5 linked regions of the Cricetulus griseus genome follow. The protein of the gene in region 3 purifies or fractionates together with the protein of the main gene of each other region. This does not show direct contact. Links are inferred from orthologs where the notes say so. Each region holds a gene or a part of one and is shown on either strand. Other genes may lie near its edges.

The links.
Region 1: the proteins of Usp48 (region 3) and Rela purify together in Homo sapiens (affinity purification with mass spectrometry; 3 studies listed by BioGRID, with this or other methods). This does not show direct contact. The link is inferred for Cricetulus griseus from reciprocal best matches to the Homo sapiens genes USP48 and RELA.
Region 2: the proteins of Usp48 (region 3) and histone H2AX purify together in Homo sapiens (affinity purification with mass spectrometry; 3 studies listed by BioGRID). This does not show direct contact. The link is inferred for Cricetulus griseus from reciprocal best matches to the Homo sapiens genes USP48 and H2AX.
Region 4: the proteins of Usp48 (region 3) and Sirt6 purify together in Homo sapiens (affinity purification with mass spectrometry; 3 studies listed by BioGRID, with this or other methods). This does not show direct contact. The link is inferred for Cricetulus griseus from reciprocal best matches to the Homo sapiens genes USP48 and SIRT6.
Region 5: the proteins of Usp48 (region 3) and Uba6 fractionate together in Homo sapiens (co-fractionation; 3 studies listed by BioGRID, with this or other methods). This does not show direct contact. The link is inferred for Cricetulus griseus from reciprocal best matches to the Homo sapiens genes USP48 and UBA6.

Annotation. Positions count from the first base shown.
Region 1 is NC_048596.1:53,708,037-53,712,209, reverse strand, and holds the start of Rela (transcription factor p65), read left to right. Parts: upstream 1-1,372; 5' UTR 1,373-1,499; coding exon 1,500-1,506; intron 1,507-2,104; coding exon 2,105-2,131; intron 2,132-2,219; coding exon 2,220-2,371; intron 2,372-2,495; coding exon 2,496-2,665; intron 2,666-3,538; coding exon 3,539-3,630; intron 3,631-3,935; coding exon 3,936-4,067; intron 4,068-4,173. UniProt on the Homo sapiens protein: NF-kappa-B is a pleiotropic transcription factor present in almost all cell types and is the endpoint of a series of signal transduction events that are initiated by a vast array of stimuli related to many biological processes such as inflammation, immunity, differentiation, cell growth, tumorigenesis and apoptosis.
Region 2 is NC_048597.1:156,021,762-156,024,769, forward strand, and holds histone H2AX, read left to right. Parts: upstream 1-1,141; 5' UTR 1,142-1,222; coding exon 1,223-1,654; 3' UTR 1,655-2,497; downstream 2,498-3,008. UniProt on the Homo sapiens protein: Variant histone H2A which replaces conventional H2A in a subset of nucleosomes. Nucleosomes wrap and compact DNA into chromatin, limiting DNA accessibility to the cellular machineries which require DNA as a template.
Region 3 is NC_048595.1:15,692,564-15,696,077, forward strand, and holds part of Usp48 (ubiquitin carboxyl-terminal hydrolase 48), read right to left. Parts: intron 3,344-3,514; coding exon 3,213-3,343; intron 2,955-3,212; coding exon 2,848-2,954; intron 1,853-2,847; coding exon 1,748-1,852; intron 1-1,747.
Region 4 is NC_048598.1:102,384,281-102,388,556, forward strand, and holds the start of Sirt6 (NAD-dependent protein deacetylase sirtuin-6), read right to left. Parts: upstream 2,804-4,276; 5' UTR 2,718-2,803; coding exon 2,652-2,717; intron 2,470-2,651; coding exon 2,342-2,469; intron 2,143-2,341; coding exon 1,900-2,142; intron 1,289-1,899; coding exon 1,229-1,288; intron 239-1,228; coding exon 143-238; intron 71-142; coding exon 1-70. UniProt on the Homo sapiens protein: NAD-dependent protein deacetylase, deacylase and mono-ADP-ribosyltransferase that plays an essential role in DNA damage repair, telomere maintenance, metabolic homeostasis, inflammation, tumorigenesis and aging.
Region 5 is NW_023276807.1:151,369,237-151,372,750, forward strand, and holds part of Uba6 (ubiquitin-like modifier-activating enzyme 6), read right to left. Parts: exon of another isoform or gene 3,320-3,514; intron 1,774-3,319; coding exon 1,580-1,773; intron 694-1,579; coding exon 566-693; intron 1-565. UniProt on the Homo sapiens protein: Activates ubiquitin by first adenylating its C-terminal glycine residue with ATP, and thereafter linking this residue to the side chain of a cysteine residue in E1, yielding a ubiquitin-E1 thioester and free AMP.

The sequences.
Region 1 (4,173 bases), on a different chromosome or scaffold from region 3:
ATGACCTTTAATTTCTGATCCTATGAGTGCTGGGATTACTGGTAGGTGTGGTGGAGTTAGGGATCAAGCTTAGGGCTTCCTGCATGCTAAAGAGCACTCTACTGAGTTGCCTCCCCAGCCCTTACTTTTCAGTAAGTGGTATCCATCTTTAAGTTATGTGTCACTTTTTAAAAGTGGTACATGCGAGGATCAATGATGGCCGTGAGCCATTAATCAGAGATCATAATTCATTCTGTCGCCTTGAAGTCCGCCCCCGCAAAACAGCAAACTGCCTTTTCTAATCTTTGCCAAGTGAGAAACTGAAATGAGTAGGAGGGGCGGTAACTATTTTCACTTTTGTCTTCCTGTTTTTTTCAGAGCCTGGGAAAGCAAGTCAGAATTTCCAATCTTTTCCAATTCCCTCATGATTTCCTAATTTAGAATGACTTCAGAGAAAATAAGTCTTTCTCCATGTGCTGAAGCCTTTTTATTCTGGCACTGGGAAACAGCCTAAGTGGAGAGCACTCTAGCCCAGGCCCCCACCCTCAACCAGCACGCCTAGGTGCAATTTTCGCACCCTGAAAACGCTGTTATCACTGAAGCCTGGGCCCAAGTGGGAAGCCTTCAGGAGATGTGCAAGCAAGATGTGACCCCGGCTGCTTCTGCAGATGCCTAAGGGTCTAGACTTTAGCAGAAAGCACCTATCTGCAGAGATGAAGCCGTGGGGTTTGACCCTGGGCGTCTTCCAGCACGCACTGCCCTCCGGGACTCTTAGATCAAGTCCTCAGAGAGAGGCACAGGTGTCCAGCCTTCGGCCTCTCTCTCTCCCTCTCTCCCCACGGCCTCAGTGAAGCAGGCTCCACGGAGCATGGCTCCCCGACTCCTGCGAGTGCAGCTGGATCTAGGATGAGGAGGAGATGGCCTATAACGCGCCGCGGTCCCCAGCAGGCCTGGCACGCTGAGGAAAGCGTGTGGAATTCAGTCACCGGCCTCTGCGGGCGCAGCAGGCCTGGGCCTCTCCCTGAGCGCGGGGAATGGCCGCAGCCTGCCAGCAGCCCTGGCTCTGCTCCAGACCGGGCCAGGGTGACATCACCAAACTCCTGCGATCAGAACGGGGCGGGGAACAGGACCCGAAATCCCCTAAAAACAGAGTGAGTAATCGCGGGACCGCCCTCCAGGCGGGGCCGGGGCCGGGACCCCGAGCGAGGCGCGTTGCGCAGCCCGGGAGCGGCCTGCAGCCCGGCGGGCCTCGGGACGAGTAGCCTCGGCGCCCTCGCGCCGCGCCCGGTGCCCCCGCCTGAGCGCCGCACACCTCCCGCGCCCTGCGAGAGTGGCACACCTCCTCCCGGGACCCACGCGCGGCGGCGGCCGCAGCACAGCGCGCAGGCGCGGCCGGATTCCGGGCAGTGACGCGACGGCGGGCGGGCGCGCGCCGCGCATTTCCGCCTCTGGCGAATGGCTTCGCTTTAGCGCGCCGCGGGCTCAGCTGCGACCCCGGCCCCGCCCCCGGGACCCCGGCCATGGACGGTGAGGCGGCCCTCTGACCCCGCGGGGTGGCTGCCCTCGAGCCCCCGGGCCCGCGGCGCGAGCCCTCCCGCGCCGTCTTCCGCCCCTTTCTGCGCCGCGGGGTGCCGCGCAGGGAGCCGCAGGCCGGATGGTGGCGCGGGGCGGGGCGGGCTGCGGGGGATCTGACTCAGTTACCCCTCTCGGTGGAGGGCGCCTTGACTTTGTCCCTCCTGGGTGGAAGTGCGGGTGAATCTTGCCTCTGTTTCCTCGGCGCCCCCCTCCCTCTCCGGTGTCGATGCGATTAGTTTTGGCTTCCTTTCCTTGTAAGGAAGAAAGTATCTGACTCAGTTTCCCCGAAGAGAAGAGGGAGGTAGTGTCTTTCCTTAGTGTCCCTTATGAACGCAAAACTGGCCTTGACTCAGTTTCCCCGGGCAGAGGAATGCCTCCATGCCCCTTTTCTCTCGTAGAGAGATGCTGCTGCCTTCTTGGCCCTGCCTCGTTCAGGGCAGGTTGTGAAGTCTTGACTCAGTTTCCTTGAGAGGGAGCTTGTTTCTATCGTCCCTTCCCTGGTGAGGATGGGCAGTGAGTGGAGTTTACTGACAATGTCTTTCCTTTTTAGATCTATTTCCCATCATCTTCCCCTCAGGTAAGTGGACCATCCTTCCTCAGTGGGTAGGGCTGTCCTGGAGTAGGGGCCATGGGGGCAGCACTTGATGGCTGGCTGTGTCACCTAGAGCCAACCCAGGCTTCTGGGCCTTATGTGGAGATCATCGAGCAGCCCAAACAACGGGGCATGCGTTTCCGCTACAAGTGTGAGGGTCGCTCAGCAGGCAGTATTCCGGGTGAGAGAAGCACAGATACCACCAAGACACACCCCACCATCAAGGTAGGCACCAGCTCCCAGGGGTTGGGAACTGATGTGGTGAGAGGCACTTGGAGCCCCAGCAGACCTGCCTCCTTGCCACCGTGCCCTGTGTCTAGGAGCCAGGTTTGGGATTGCTGGCCCCTAGAGTACTCTGTACTTTGGACAGATCAATGGCTACACGGGACCAGGAACAGTTCGAATCTCCCTGGTCACCAAGGACCCACCTCACCGGCCTCATCCACATGAACTTGTGGGGAAAGACTGCCGGGATGGTTTCTATGAGGCTGAACTCTGCCCAGACCGCTGCATCCACAGGTGAGCTCTTTACAGGCCGGGGTAGAGTGAGGTCAGTGGATAGGAGGCAGGGTAGGAGCAGACAAGGCCAGGTGGCTGTTAACAGTGTTACCCCTTTCTAGACACAGGCAGAATTCTGAGTCCTTGCTCTGTACCCAGCTCTGCAAACAGACCTTCTTTGTCTTAAATTCTCTGACAGACAGGAACTCCACGGGATAAGGATCACCTTATCACCTTGGAGCCACAGACACTTGTGGCTGAACAGGCCAGTCTCTTAGTGTCTCTCATATGAGAAAGATATCCATAATGGACTCTCCTGGAACATAAACACCAGCTGACAAAATCAGGCAATAAATAACTGTACGAACAGATAGACAAGATACCACTTGAGAATAGTAATTTCTATGATGAAAAGAAAGCACAGTAGCAAATTGGAAGGATGAAGAGGAGGCTAGCCTCATTGCTTGGAGACAGAGTCTCATATAGCCCAAGCTGGCCTTGAACTCATTAGGATTCATCTGGCTCTTCCTGTCAACTCCGAGGATAACAGGCATGTACCACCATGTCCTGATACGGGTCTCATGACTTTGGGTTGAAAGGTTACAGAAGGCCTGTCTGCTAACGCTTAAGTGATGAGGAAAGGCAGACAAGTCTAAAAGTATATTCCATGCTCAAGAAAGAAGTCCAGTGACCTTGAAGAGGGAATAAATTTAGTGGGCTTAGGAATGGCTAAGGGTGGGACGCTGGCTTGGAGGCTTGCTTTGGCTAGATTCCACAGAGGCTTGCTGACGGGCAAGGAGGGAGTTTCATTGCAGCCCAGTGGAATAGACTTGGGAGTGGGAGGCAGGAATGGGCTTTGCTGCAGACACAAAACTGATGCCTGAGACACCACAGCTTTCAGAACCTGGGGATCCAGTGTGTGAAGAAGCGAGACCTGGAGCAAGCCATCAGCCAGCGCATCCAGACCAACAACAACCCCTTTCAAGGTAGGAGCAAGGGGCAAAGACATAGCCTACCTGTGGCGTCCACATCTCCATCACTTCCCCGGGCCTCTGCAGTCCCCTCCCTCCATGACCAGGCAAACAGTCTAAGTGGAACCTGCTAGCTTGGTACACTCACATTACCATCCAGAGTCAGGCCTAGAGAGGGATCACGTCTTCCATGTTGCAGTAGAGCCAGTGATGAGTCTAGAATTTTGTCTTCCTCCCTGAGACTTCTGTTGTGCTTGTCTCCCTTCGCTCAGAGCTCCCTGCCCTCCGTGACTCCCCTCATCCCTCTGTTTTTCTGACAGTTCCTATAGAGGAGCAGCGTGGGGACTATGACCTGAATGCAGTGCGCCTCTGCTTCCAGGTGACGGTGCGGGACCCATCAGGCAGGCCCCTCCGCCTGACTCCTGTCCTCTCTCATCCTATTTTTGATAACCGTGAGTGGCCGCCTCTAGTAAGGGGAAAGGGAGGGTCTGGAAGAGAAAGGGGGCTGGAGTGGGTGTGACCTGTGAAGAGTGCTCTGGTTCCCTTTAGTCCTCCAGT
Region 2 (3,008 bases), on a different chromosome or scaffold from region 3:
GGTGACAATAAAGGATTGTCTTTTACTTGCTTCTCTCCCTCAACCTCTTTTTCTAGCCTTTGAGATACTTGAGGACTGAACTCTTTTTTTTTTTTTTTTTTTTTTTTTTGGTTTTTCGAGACAGGGTTTCTCTGTATAGCTTTGGAGCCTATCCTGGCACTCGCTCTGGAGACCAGGCTGGCCTCGAACTCACAGAGATCCACCTGCCTCTGTCTCCCAGTGCTGGGATACAAGGCTTGTGCAACCAACATCCGGCCTGAGGACTGAACTTTGTTAAGTGCTCTACCACTGAATAAATCTATACATCTATCCCCTATTTATCTTTCGTATGGGCATTTTAGGATCGATTGGAAGGGTTGGGGTGGGTACCCTTTCCAAGAGAATACCTACCTCTGTTCCATCAGACCCCTTCCTGCAAGAAGTGACAGAACTGAAACCAGACAGAACATGTTGAATAAATATTAAAATACTAACTTGTCGTAGCACAAAGGATCACAGCACTCAGTTTTCTGGCATAGGATTGTACTCTCAGGTTTCATTTCTTCTCCTTTAAACCCTCCCTTTGCCAAATTTGAGGAGGGCGTGGGAGTGCCCCTGACCTGGAAGGAGAACTCTTTCCCTTTTTAACTTTTGTTAAAATGTTTTTCGAAACAGGGTTTCCCCTTGTAACCCTGGCTGTCCTGGAACTCGCTTTGTTACCAGGCTAAGCTTGAACTCAGAGCTCCCCCTTCCTCCGCTTCCTGAGTGCTTGAATTAAAGGTGTGCACCACTATCGCTCGGCTAACCCTTTTACTTTAAAACCCTTGGCCGGCCCAGATTTCCCAGAGACAGTCATGCGCCTCCAGACTCCACCTTCCTAGTCTTCCGGTTCTGGTGGCGCGCAATAGCGTTTAAATTTCGCGCGCTTAATAAGGATTGGCCACTTCCATGGATGATTAGCCTGCTGTTTGCGGCCACTCCGCCTTGCTTTCTTCCCCGGGTAAAAGGTTTTCAAATTGGACCAATCGCTGGGCGAGCTCTTTTCGCCTAGGCGCGTCACCGAAGGGTTAATTCCAACCAACCAGAGGCCGGTACTGGGGAAAAGAGCCAATCAGGGGGAGGCGGGGGCGTGTCCATGGAGTTTATAAGGGCGAGCTCGCCCGCGCGCGGCGACAGTTGACTGCGGCGGTTGGCAGTTTTCTTTCGTCGTCGGTGTTGCTCTCTGCTTTCTACCTCGTATACGATGTCGGGTCGCGGTAAAACCGGAGGCAAGGCCCGCGCCAAGGCGAAATCGCGCTCCTCGCGCGCCGGTCTACAATTCCCGGTAGGCCGCGTGCATCGGCTGCTGAGGAAAGGCCACTATGCCGAGCGCGTGGGAGCCGGCGCCCCGGTGTACTTGGCGGCCGTGCTCGAGTACCTCACCGCTGAGATTCTGGAGCTGGCGGGCAACGCGGCGCGGGACAACAAGAAGACGCGCATCATCCCGCGCCACCTGCAGCTGGCCATCCGCAACGACGAGGAGCTCAACAAGCTTCTGGGCGGCGTGACGATCGCTCAGGGCGGCGTCCTGCCCAACATCCAGGCCGTGCTGCTGCCCAAGAAGACGAGCGCCACCGTGGGGCCCAAGGCGCCGGCGAGCGGCAAGAAGGCCACCCAGGCCTCTCAGGAGTACTGAGGGAGCCCGCGCCCTGGCCGCCCAGCCCTCCCCACACCTCCACAAAGGCCCTTTTAAGGGCCACCACCTCCCTCACGGAAAGAGCTGAGCCACTTAGGGCTGCGGGCCGGGCCGCCGCGTTCCCATTCTCTTCCCCTTTCTCTGCCATCGCGCGTTTCTGCCTCCCCTTCCCTGCACGGCCTCCGGGTCAGGCGCCGCGGTACTTATCCATCGCGGAGCTTCGCCGGTCTCCGTCTCGATGGGCCGCGCGGAGAGGTTGCGACACCTTCCAGAAGTGTCGGCCTTTTGCTGTGACGTACGGCTGAGGTGGGCCTGAAGGTGAGTTACTCTGCAGCTGCAACCCGGGCGTCCTTTCTTCAGCTTGGTGCTTTAGCCCTCGCCTGGACCTTCCAGAAGTGACTTGATTACCAGGCTTTGGTGAAGAGAAATGGATCATATTGTTTGGTCCTGTGTTTTCCCCTTCGTTGGCCTCATACCAGTTTACCCCATCTTCGTTCATCGGCCGGTGTGTGGTGTGGCCGGGACAAAATCACTGTAATATGAGCTGGTTTTCTCCAGGATGCCTCCTGGAAAGGGTTTGGGAGAAGCTTACAGGCCTGTGGACAGAAGAGCTGTGTTCTTGCCGCAGGAGACTGGCAGCCGGGCCTAGCTATCCCCTTTTCTTCCCAGCGACTCAATTCACAACCCAAACACCTAGATACCAGCACAAGTCGGTGAATCCCTATCTGGACTGAGCCTCTACTGGCTTCTGAACTGGAATTTTGCAGCTATCCCAAGTTTAGAACCTTAGGTAGTGGGGAGTTTCAATGGGCTAATTTTATTAAATGGTTGTTCTGTTTTTTTAAAAGATGGAGTGTCTTGATTAATTTCGAATTGCTGTAGGCCCGGGGTTGGGGTTCTATAGCTCCGTGGTAGAGCCATGTACCTGGCATGTGTTGTGTTGGGAGGTGGGAGTGGAATTGTAAGTTCCCTTAGAGCAGTGGGGATGGGCAAGACTGTAATACAAGTAGGTTCTGTTAACTGAAAACAGGCAGGCTGTAGGAATTGAGGCAGTTTTCTCTTTGCTCGGTGCTTCCTGGGATGCATTCTGAGAACATGAGGCAATTAGAAAGTATTTCAACAGAGAAGTCCCAGACTCAGAATTCAGGTTTAAAAGGGCTTTGGGTTTATTTATATTTTCCCCAATTCCACCAAAACAACCACATTGAGAGCTGGTTTAATATTAGTGGCATTGGTTACATTCGAGATTGGCACTGACTTTTTCTAAAGAGATGAAGCCCTAACTACTGAGGAGGAAAGGCGCAGTCATCAAGGCCCCAAGGTGATTCGTGTCTCTGGAAGTCTCAACACCCTG
Region 3 (3,514 bases):
AGGGGCACTAATGCCTCGGTTTATGGTGTGGATTTACCAAAGTGTAACCAGCCAACACATTCTGAGACAAAGAAGTGGGGGGAGGGGTGACATTCTGAAGACACTAGGTATCTCCAGGGACTAGTTACAATGCTCTAACTGGCGGTTAGAATTGAGATCCCTCCCCTGCTCTGCCCTGAACCAAAAGTATTTAAAACATTCTAGAGTATTACAATATCCAAACATGGACAAGGGAGATGGAGGAAAATTATAACGTGTACAAAACAATTATGGCATAAAAAGCAATGCTCTCCAACATTCTGCATCTTATTTGTACATGCAAAATCTGTTGCCATCCACAACTAAGGACAGGAATTCCACATCCACCTGAAAACATTGCTGTGGTCATGACCACAGTGAATAAAACTGGATGTTCAGAGAAACAGCCAGCTTTTCAAAGTCAGAATCACATGAAAATGTAGAGTTGGCTAAAGAACTCTTGGGCTGAAAAGCATAGCTGGAAACAGAGACTGACTGAATCACATCTGCAAACTCCTAGGTCCACGTTACAGCCAGGCAGAGTGGCCACACCAGCAATCCCAGCACTTTGGAGGCCAAATAAGAAAACTATGGGATCAAGGCCAACCTGGGTTATGTGGCACATGCAGGGCCAGCAAACCTGTGTCTCAAAAAGGAGAACAGACACAACATCACCTCAGGAAACAGCAGACACCAACACAGATCTCAATAGGGCAGTAGGGCACCTCAGATAGAAAACTCTCAAACTGACATCCAGCATTACCACAGAATGTACCAAGGAAACAGGCTACCAAGCTTAACAAAGGAAACTGAGATCTGCCTGCCCATTGTCAAAGGGTTTTTGTTCCTTCATGGGTTTTTGTTATTCTATTTGATTTTGGTTATTATTAAGATACAAACAAGGCATGGATAAAAAATACTGACATATCCTTCCACACCAGATGGGTATGTACAAACAACATTTCTCTTGAGGCAACCAAGACTTTACTTTTTAAAATTTATTTCTATTTTATGTATGAGTGCTCTGCATGTATATTATGTATAGTGTTCTGCTTACATGTACGGCTGGATGCCAGAAGAGGGCACCACATCTCATTACAGATGGTTGTGAGCCACCATGGGGTTGCTGGGAATTTTAACTTAAGACCTTAACCTCTGAGCCATCTCTCCAGCCTGGTATTCCAGCCAAACAGCCTCACTATGGCCCACCATGGCCTTAAACTCACAGGTGGGCAATCTTGCCTCAACCTCCTCAATGGTCTTAGTCACAAACTGTCACATTCAGCACTTTTTCTTTCTTTGCTTGTTTTGAGGCAGGGTTCCACTATGTAGACCAGGCTATTCTCAGATTCTCTAAGTAGACTAGGCTGGCCTCAGACACCTGCCTGAGTGCTTTAAAGGTGAGCACTGCCACCACACCTAGGTTTTCTTTCTTAAAAGAAATGGATATGTATGCAGCACATAGTGTGTGTGTGTGTGTGTGTGAGAGAGAGAGAGAGAGAGAGAGAGAGAGAGAGAGAGAGAGAGAGAGAGAGAGAGAGAGAGAGAGAGACCGAGACCGACAGACAGATTAGAAATTAGGACAGATGGTGCAATGCTACAAAAACTAAAGAAAACAAAAATACAGGACAAGTATAAAGAGACCCAGAACAATATTCCAGCCAGGGAAGAGATGCCAGGTACCCAGAGTAAAAAGAAGGATAAGGATGGGAGGAGCTTCAGTGCATACTTGATTAAAGTCAGGGTCTTTCTCTCCATCTGGCTTAGTTTCCTCCTTGTCCTCTTCTGTCTCAGAACTACTCACATTCAACTCTGGAGCTGAGTCCTTCATCACCTGAATGCACCAGGAGCAGAGAGAAATGAGTCAGGCCCTAGGTGAGCATGCCGTAGGGGGTGGGCAACCACCTTCTTTGCTTTTAACTTCTTATAGTCTAACCCTGTGGCCTTCCTACCTCTGAGTGTTACTCATTTATTTACCTATATTTTATTATCATTTTGATGTAGAGCTCTCACTATTGTATCTCTAGCTGTCCAGGAACTATGCAGACCAGGCTGGTCTTGAACTCTGCTAGATTAAAGGCATGCACCACCACACCCAGCCTAGTTTTATTTCTAATTGGGTATCTCTTCTATGTATGTTTATCTGCATGTAGCTCAGGCGCCTCATATGCCAGAAACATCAAATCCCCTGCAACTAGAGTTACAGGTTATGACTCGCCTGATATAGGAACTGAGAAACAAAAAATATGTTCTTCTGCATAACACTGTGGGCACAGCTAATAAACTCAAACAATGGTTGTTCCTTCTACTATGTAAATGGGCTGAAAGTCAACAGGGTTAAGAAAATCCTGGGGGAAAGTGGGGGTGCTTATATCATGTTCCTTTTCTCAACATGTTTGGAAATAAAGGCCTTTGTTTTAATCTATGAAGTAGAACTCTATATCTGTAATGCATTAATGTGGAAAGTAGCATTCTAATACAATGCATCGAGTAACTAACTGCCTTTAAAATTGTCCAAACCCTGTAATTCAACTGATGGATGTTCATGCTCTATTCTCAAAGTCAATACTAATACAGAAAGAATGCTCACAAATTCTAATTTCACTGGCCATTCAGATCTATGCTGAGGCTGAGGCTGAGGCTGAGGCTGCCTTTCCCTGTCCTGCTATGATGCCATCATAGCTAAACCCAACAGGCAGGGCAATTTTTTAAACCAGAAGTCAGACAACACTGGGAATTCTACTTTTTTCCAACTGTTCAAGTTCAACACTAAGTAGGCAGATTTGATGGCCTACATTCTGTAGTCATGGCCACAAGAAGAACTGGTACCTTTTTGTTGTCCACAACTTTGTGGACATAGATGGTGGCTTGGGTATACTCTCGTAGGTCCCGCTGCTGCTGGCACAGCAGGCCTTCTCTGCAATCTGGACAGAGTTCTAGAACAGAGCAGATCAGAAAAACTTAAGAATTGCTGCAAAAAACCTGACATCAGTTACTACACAGCCAACTCAGTAATTGATGTGTCAGGCAGCATGTAAATGATGAGGGAATCTGTGTACTGCCTGGAACTAACAACGGCAGCTCACAGGTCTGCCAGAAGCGTCTGAGCTACTCCATAGCCTTTACTGACAAACCCTTCCCTTCCCCTTAAACTGTCAACTTATAATAAAAGGAAAAGAGATAGGAAAACTTACTAGGCTCAGAAATATACTGTACTTCAGAAGGGCCCGCATCTCCGACTGCAATTCTCGTGATTTTGATTACTTTATCCACGACAAAGAGCTTTTGAATCATCTGCCACTCGCTGGGCCATATGAGAGCTATACTGTGCAAAAAAAAAAAAGAAAGAAAAAGAAAAACAAAAAACAAGAAACAACATGCCTTAAGACACGTGGAGAGCAACAGAACAAATATCCTACAACAAATCAATGCCACCAACAATTTACTGCAAACAAACAGGAAGGGTCTGACTCATGACATATGAAACTGGAGCAAC
Region 4 (4,276 bases), on a different chromosome or scaffold from region 3:
ATCAGCGAGCATCAGGTCCCGTTCAGGCAGTGCGTCCTCCCAGTCCAGAATGGTGTCCCTCAGCTCCCCCCTGCAGCAGGTCAGGGAAGGGAGTTAGGGCCCTCACTTCCTGACAGGGGCAGGTGTGAGGAAGGTTACTCACCTACAGGCCCTTAGGCCCCTGGCCTTGGCCACTGTGCAGAGCCGGCCCGTGGCCTTGAGGCCCATGGTACCCACGACTGTCTCTCTCACGTATTGCCTGTACAGGGGGGAAGGAGGGGGATGTGACTTGTCTAGCGCTCTTTCAGGGGTCTGGGGGTGGTGTAACCAGTGTATGGGGTACAGGCTCAATCCCTGGGCTACACTGCAAGACCAACAGCCTAGGGATACAAAGACAGGTGCCTCAGTCTGGGAAGGGCTTGACATGCAGACATGAGGCCCTGAGTTCAAAAGGCGGCACAATGGAGCAGATTTACCACCCCAGCGCTGGAGACCCCAGGAGGTTCCTGGCCACTCAGCAAAACCAGCAATTGACAGGTTCTGAGAGACTGTGCTTCAGAACACAAGGAGAGGGGTTGAGTTAAGACACCTGATGCTGGGGCTGGAGAGCACTAACCGCTTTTCCAGAGGACCCAGGCTCAATTTCCAGCAACCACCTGGTGGCTCACAACCACCTGTAATGAGATCTGGTGCCCTCTTCTGACATAAAGGCGTACAAGCAGGCAGAACACTCATACATTAAGTAAATGGGTAAATCCTTAAACCCCCCCCCTCCAAATGACAACAGCAAAAAACCAAACCAACAACAATACAAGACCATCCACCAGTGTGTGTGTGGGGTGGCCAAACATGATGGCTCATTGGCTGTGATCTCAGCACCAGGAAGCAGAGGCAACTTAAAGAGGGGGTCAGGGGCTGAAGCTCAGGGGCACAGCTCTTGCCTAACACCCTCGAGGATCTGGTGTAAAGCAATGTTGTCTGCTGGCTGGGAGCCACAGCAGGGGGGTGGGGCAGGGAGAACCCCTCACTTCCAAGGATGTGGCTTGTGTCGCCCTGTTTTGTAGCTTCTTGCTTGGGGGACCTCCTCATAGCTTGTCTGTTTTTAACTGACTGTCACTGGAATCAGAGGCACCTCCCAGCTTTCCCTGGGGCCATTTCAGGACCTGTTAGCTGGTTCAGCGGAGGAACCTGGGAGAGCCCCACCCTGGGAGAGCCCCTCCCCTGCCGGTCTTCACTTGCGGACACTCACGTCTTACACTTGGGACATTCCTCTACAAACATGTTTCCATGGAGCTCAGCCAGCTTGTCCCTGCGGAAGAGAATGAGAGTCAGGTCCCTTCCTCCCTGAACCCTGAGGCTTGGACCAGTTGCTCAGCCTGCCTCTTCCTCCAGAAAGCCTTCCTAGGCTGCTCACCCACAAGGTCTAGGCTGAGGAATTGTTACAGGTGGCGATGACCCTATCTCTGCAAACACAAATAGCTGCTCCCCACTACAAAAATCTGTTGGCCAGATGGACCGTGGTGTCGCACGCCTTTAATCCCAGCACTCGGGAGGCAGAGGCAGGCGGATCTCTGTGAGTTCGAGGCCAGCCTGGTCTACAGAGCTAGTTCCAGGATAGGTTCCAATGCTACACAGAGAAACCCTGTCTCGAAAATCTTAAAAAACAAAAAAACAGAAAACAATCTGTTGGCCTTAGAGCACTTGCCTAGACGCCCCCAGTGAGGGGCTGGGGGCGTGGCTCAGGGTGGAGCCCCACCTAGAAACCCCCCCATTGACCAAGTGCTGGCCTACTTTAGGCTCCAAGCTCTTCCCCCCTTTCCATCTCCAATAAAATGTCCCTGACCCCGGGCAGGCAGCCTGGTTCCCGGATAAGGAAGGGGTGCAGCTGAGCCCCACGCCCCTGGTCCAGTCCCATCTGACCTGGGGAAGCCCGAGCGTACGTGCAGCCCGTCCACATTCTGGCTGACGAGGAAGCTGAGGAAGCCCGAGCGCTCCAGCTGCACCAGGGCCATGTGGGTCTTGGAGGGCCGGGCGTTCTCGAAGGTGGTGTCAAACTTGGGGGCCAGGCCACGCTCTTCCATGGTCCACACGCCGTGGGGGCCTCTGAGGACAGCGAGCAGAGGACAGAAGTTCCTTTTCGAGTGCAGGCCTCGTCCTGGGAGCCTGAAGTCAGTGTGTGCTGCGGGCTGGGTCCCTGTCGGGGAGAGCCAGCCGGCCAGCCGGGGACCCCGCAGCCGGGGACCCCGCAGACGCGTCCCAGCATCCCCTGCAGCCACACATCGCCGGGATCTGTGGCGGCTGCCCCACCTCACGGCCGTCCCCGCCAGCGCCCTGCCTCAGTTTCCCGTGCTCGTTCACAGACCTGAAGTCGGGGATGCCGGAGGCGGTGCTGATGCCGGCGCCCGTGTGGAAAACCACGCTGGAGGCCTGCAGCATCAGCCGGGCCAGCTCCCCCACCTTCCGCTCCAGCTCCTCCGGGGGGTCGAAGATCTGTGGGGACGGGGGCACAGCTGGGCTCAGGGACGGACCCCACCGCACCGCACCCACCCCGCCCGCGGGGTCCTCCTTCCAGGAAAGTCCTTCCCGCTGTCTACACTCCGTGTTTCGTGCTGTCCCCACAATGCCCCACTCGTCCGGGCCCCCGTCTGGCGACCGGGACACCGTGGCCTCACCTCCGGCAGCCCGCACTTGCCCTTATCCGCATACGGCGACAGCCCGGCTGCGTAATTCACCGACATCGTCGCCAACAGCGCAGACGGGAACAATAAAGTTTCCCTTGTTGAGGCCGCTTCCGCCGGAAATGGGGAAGGGACCGCCGGGGTGGGAGCGTTAGAGGCGGAGGAGGTGTTTCCCCCCGGAGCGCGCGCGCCGCACTGACGCCGCGGGCGCCATCTTTAGTGCTGGCAGAGACTTGCGGGCTGCCTCGCGAGCCTTCCCTTCTCGTCCCCGGCGCGCTCGCAGGAACCGAGTCCCAGCCCAGCCTGGCTGTGCAATGAGACCCTGTTTCAGAAAAGCGACAAAACCAGCAACAAAAACCATTAAAAACAACCCCCGGAACTCTCACTCCGTGGGTAGAGCTCACCCCTCGTGCATACAGCCGCGGCGGGAGTTCGAAGCCCGTCTAGAGGTCGTGAGACCCTGGGCGGCCTTTGGGTCTCTGCTGTGCGGCTGTCAGCCCGTGTCTGCCCCTTTCTGAGCCACAGGATAGAATGAATGGGAACTTGGGGTTCACAGGCACCCCCTCCCCCGGGCGCCCTGCCAGCATGTTCTCAGCTTTGTTTCTGGGGATAGCACAGAGCATCACGGTCAGGTCCCCACGTTACACAGAGGGGCCCGGAGACGCAGAGAGAGATGGGGAAGGGGATACTGGGTCAGAAGCACCTCCTGTGATCCCCTCCTGTGGCAGTCCATCCTGACCCCTGTGCCTGCTGGTGGTCAGACGGGACCAGGCCACGGCGATGGGGGCAGCAGTCCTTGGGGCTGCCCACATGAGCAGGCTGGCCAACAGCAGTCCTCCCTCTCTGGGCTCATCCCGTCCCCCTGGGCGGATGCCCCCCCTTCCTGATCAGGTGTCACCCCGACTCTGCTGCTGGCAGCTCGCACTTGGAGCGGGTAACCAGAGAGGCTGTGGTGCACGCAGTGCTCTGGCCTAGAGACGCCTCAGGTAGGGGGATGAGACTGTGAGAGGCCAGGGAAGACGCTGCTCTGGGTCCCAAGGAAGGGGATACTGTGTCAGGGGGTTGGGGAGGGGGCTGCTTGCGACACCCGAACACATACATGCACCTGCACACTCGTGACAGGTACACGGGACCCACCCGACATGCGCGGACCTCGCTCAATGTGCGGCCTCCTCCCTGAACCATTGTGGGAACCCACAGGTCAGCGGACCTGTGCTGCCCCACCTCTTCCAGGAGGGAGACCCCTAAATTCACAGGCCTTACCCACACGATTCCATCCTGACTGCCAACCTGAGTTTCCTGTTACCCTTGGGTGTGATTGAACTTTATAATTGGGGGTGAGAATGAGCTGTACACTGAGCTGTAGAGGAGAAAGGAAGGATGGACAGGTGGGTGGATGAATGGATGGATGGATGGATGAGTGGATGGATGGATGGATGGATGGATGGGGTGGATGGGTGGGTGGTGGGTGGGGGGGGTGGATGGATGGATGGATGGGTGGGATGGGTGGATGGATGGGTGGGTGGTGGGTGGGTCTTCCCTGAATAGATTGCTTTTGCTCATTGAGAGTAGTCAGAAACGTGACTGGCCTTCCTACAAGGGGCTGATTGTCAGGTGTC
Region 5 (3,514 bases), on a different chromosome or scaffold from region 3:
GTTATCAATATCTGAACATTTGGAGTGTCCAAATCATTGGCTGTCATAAGTATGCTAGAATGATCACCTTGGAATATATGTAATTTGGCATGTGTGCAATAGCACCTTATTTCATTTATATGGATTACTTTATTTTGTGTTTTCATAAGTAATGTATGAGGGTGGTAAGAGGATTAGCTCTTCCTGACAAGATACTTCTACTCACATTTCTGGCTGTGGCCAACCTGAAATGTCAAAAACAGACACTCAGGAATTGATTTCTGTTGTTATAAATGTGCAGAATTAGATTCTAAATTTCACAGTGTATAGTCAGACAAGAATGCCTTCAAAATTATCCAAGTTAGGAACCCTAAAGTATAATCGTAAATGGTGTGAGAAAACAACTATTGTGAGGATGCTCTAGCTAGTCTACTTGGAAATAATTCATCAAGATGACGTTTGACTGGGTCCTGAAATAGCAGAAAGGATTAACAAGAAATAGAGATGAAAACCAGTATGCTTCCTTCCTAAGGGTAGAATGTACTTTCTTTCTCATTATGGAAGAAAAACAGACTTTTATACATACCTGATTTCAGTTTTTCTTACTTCAGATGTCTCTGTAAACACTATTATTGGAATGGCTAAATTAAGGAAACAGTTTTTATAAGCTTCAAAGGGATAGCCACCAGCTACTTTGATCATTTCCAAGGCAACCTAAATAAGAGAAGGTGACATGATTACCTAGAGAACAAAAAGTTAAAGCTTCTTGGGATTTTATCAGTCTTGTTCCTTGTGAAGGTTCAAGCCTGGATGTCTCTGTAAATAGTAAGAACAGCTATACACTTACAGTAAAATGTATTTCTTATTTATCTGACATTTTTAGTACATTTTACTTTTAATATTCAGTCTATTCTATATATATATAGTGAACAAAGTTATTTCACTATTTAATCATCCTATTTTCAAAGCAGACACCATAACTCAAAACTAAAGCAATTTAACCAATAAAGGAACAGACAACTAACTCCAATTTTGTAGAGTACTGATAGAGTACAATATAATAAATGGTCTTAATTATCTTTCTCAAGAGACTATCTACTTGACATGGAGAGTGACATGATTTCTGTGGAGGGTGGACGGGAAAGTGACAGGATGGCCAGGTGATCCTGTGTTGCTGCCTTTGGCCCTGTGCTCTAGGAGGATGGTATACTACATCTTTCCTCTGAGTCTGTCTGGTTGTCTCTCCCTGGGTTCTCACAATCAAGTACTCCTAAGGTTCCAGAATGGTCTCCTGGGTTCCAGGACCTGCTCCTGAGCTAGCTGTTGGGCTGGGTCCCTTCTTTCCACCGCCCCCAAACTCAGGAGGGAAGGAAAAGTCATTGACAACAACTATACTCTATCTTGAGTTTATTAACACTATTTTTATACATAGGACCTAGGACTTAGAGATATACCTCATTATATTTTCAGAAATATCTTGAAAGTTTAAATTATAAGATCCATTTTTTTTTTTAATCCCTTCATCTCTAAATTCTGCTTGGCCAGCTAAAGTTGGTGTGATGTTGGGAAGATCTGAGACTTTTTAGAAGAATAAACTTACCAAGCCAGAAACTGCAGCAGTAGATGTTGCTATAGCAGGGATAATTTTACCAGCTATGCGCTTAGTTTTAAACCGGTCAGCTGGTTCAATGCTATACATTTTGGCTCGAAGGTTGGATGCAGCTGTGATGAAATCTATGTGTCCATTATTGTCATCATCTTTTTCAAATGAAAGCACTGCCATCTGAAGGTCACCTGACCAGAGTAATCAGAAGAGCGCATGCTAGTTATGGTAAAGGTTTTATGAGATAAAAAGCAAGGTAAAAATGTACACGTATAAAATTTTCAAATAACCAGATTTCTAATAAAGAAATATACAAGTAACAAAGCTGAAGGACCCACTGAAAGCATTGCTTAGTTAACAAAAATATTAATCATAACCATTTTTGTTATGAACAAAATGAAAATGTATAAAGAAATAAGCAACTGAAGTTATAAAAGAACATGAAAACAATGGCATTAGGACCACCAAACTAAAGAAGTTAGTGTATAAAAAACAGTAAATAGTGAAATAAGAAAAGCCATTTGTGACATTAGCTGCTGCCATGTGGATTATAAAAGTAAATCTTTGATACTACTCAAAATTTAACCCATAAATATTACTTTGAAACATTTTCTCTCTGACAACTAACAAAATCATTTGTGCATCTCTTTGAATATTTCAGATTAGTGATTTCCAATATCACTTTCAAGACTATTAACATGACATATAATGAAATTTTACTGGTTCACACATGAAATCACAGAACTTTGAGAATTACTGATTTATCTAACAAAAGATGGTAAGCATGCCTAAGCAGATGAACGACTAGCTGCTTTTAAAGAATTAAAAGTTCAGCTGTAGCAAAGTTGTTTGTAAAGTCAGATTTTATTCCTGGTAAAACCTGAGAAAGCTAAGAGTAAGTAAAGAGCTTGATACACAGCATGAGGACCTAATTTGAGGTTCCAGAATCTACACAAATGTGAAAATCTGTAATCCCAGTGCCTCTACAGAGAGAGAAGGCAGACACAGGAGTAGCCCTTGAAGCTTGTAGGTCAACTAGCCTGGTGCAAGCATCAGAAGAACCAGCAAAGGGAGGACCAGCACCCAAGTTTATCCTCTGACCTCCGTGTGTGTGCCATGGCATGCACATGTCCATACGCTCATCTATACTCCCCCCCACCCCACCCCCGACACTCCCTCACCCACACTCTTTCTCTCTCACATACACACTCTCTAACATACACATACTCACCCTCTCTCTGAGACTTTTGGTAATTCTTTCCCCTAAAGTGGTATGTTTAAAGGTATGAATAGGTTACTAAGCTTATTTTTTTATTTTGAGATAGGGTCTCACTATGTAGCTTAAGATAACTGTGACTCCCTGATCCTGCTGATCCAGTAAGTCCAGCTAATCTGAACCTTCTGCTCCTTAAAAACAAGCTATTTGCTTGTGTTTTTAGAACTGTTCAATATCTGAAGCATAAAAACAGTAAGAATTACAATACAGCAGTTAATGTAATTTGGAGAATTAGTTTTTAAAACTTGAAGGCAAATACATGAGGAAAAAAATGATGACTTTAGTCATTGTTAAAGGACAGAAATTTTTTTCCCACCATTAAGTAACTTTTATTTTACATTGCAACTCCAGTTACTTCTCCCTCTCCTCTCACCTTATCCCCATCCCACTCCCATCAGCTATGATGACTAAGAATTAGTACCCTTGTCAAGTCTTTTATTAAGCGGGCAAGCGGAGGAATGATGGTTTACATCTCGAATGGACAAGTGTTGGACAGTCGAAATCAGTCCCCATGGAGATTGTCTTTTATAACAGATTTTTTCTGGGGAATAGCAGAATTTGTGTTTTTTTTTTTTTTTTTTTCAAAACTCTGCTTCAGCAAGATGTGAAAAAAAGAAGAGGCTATGGAAGCTCATCTAATTTCAGATACGATGATG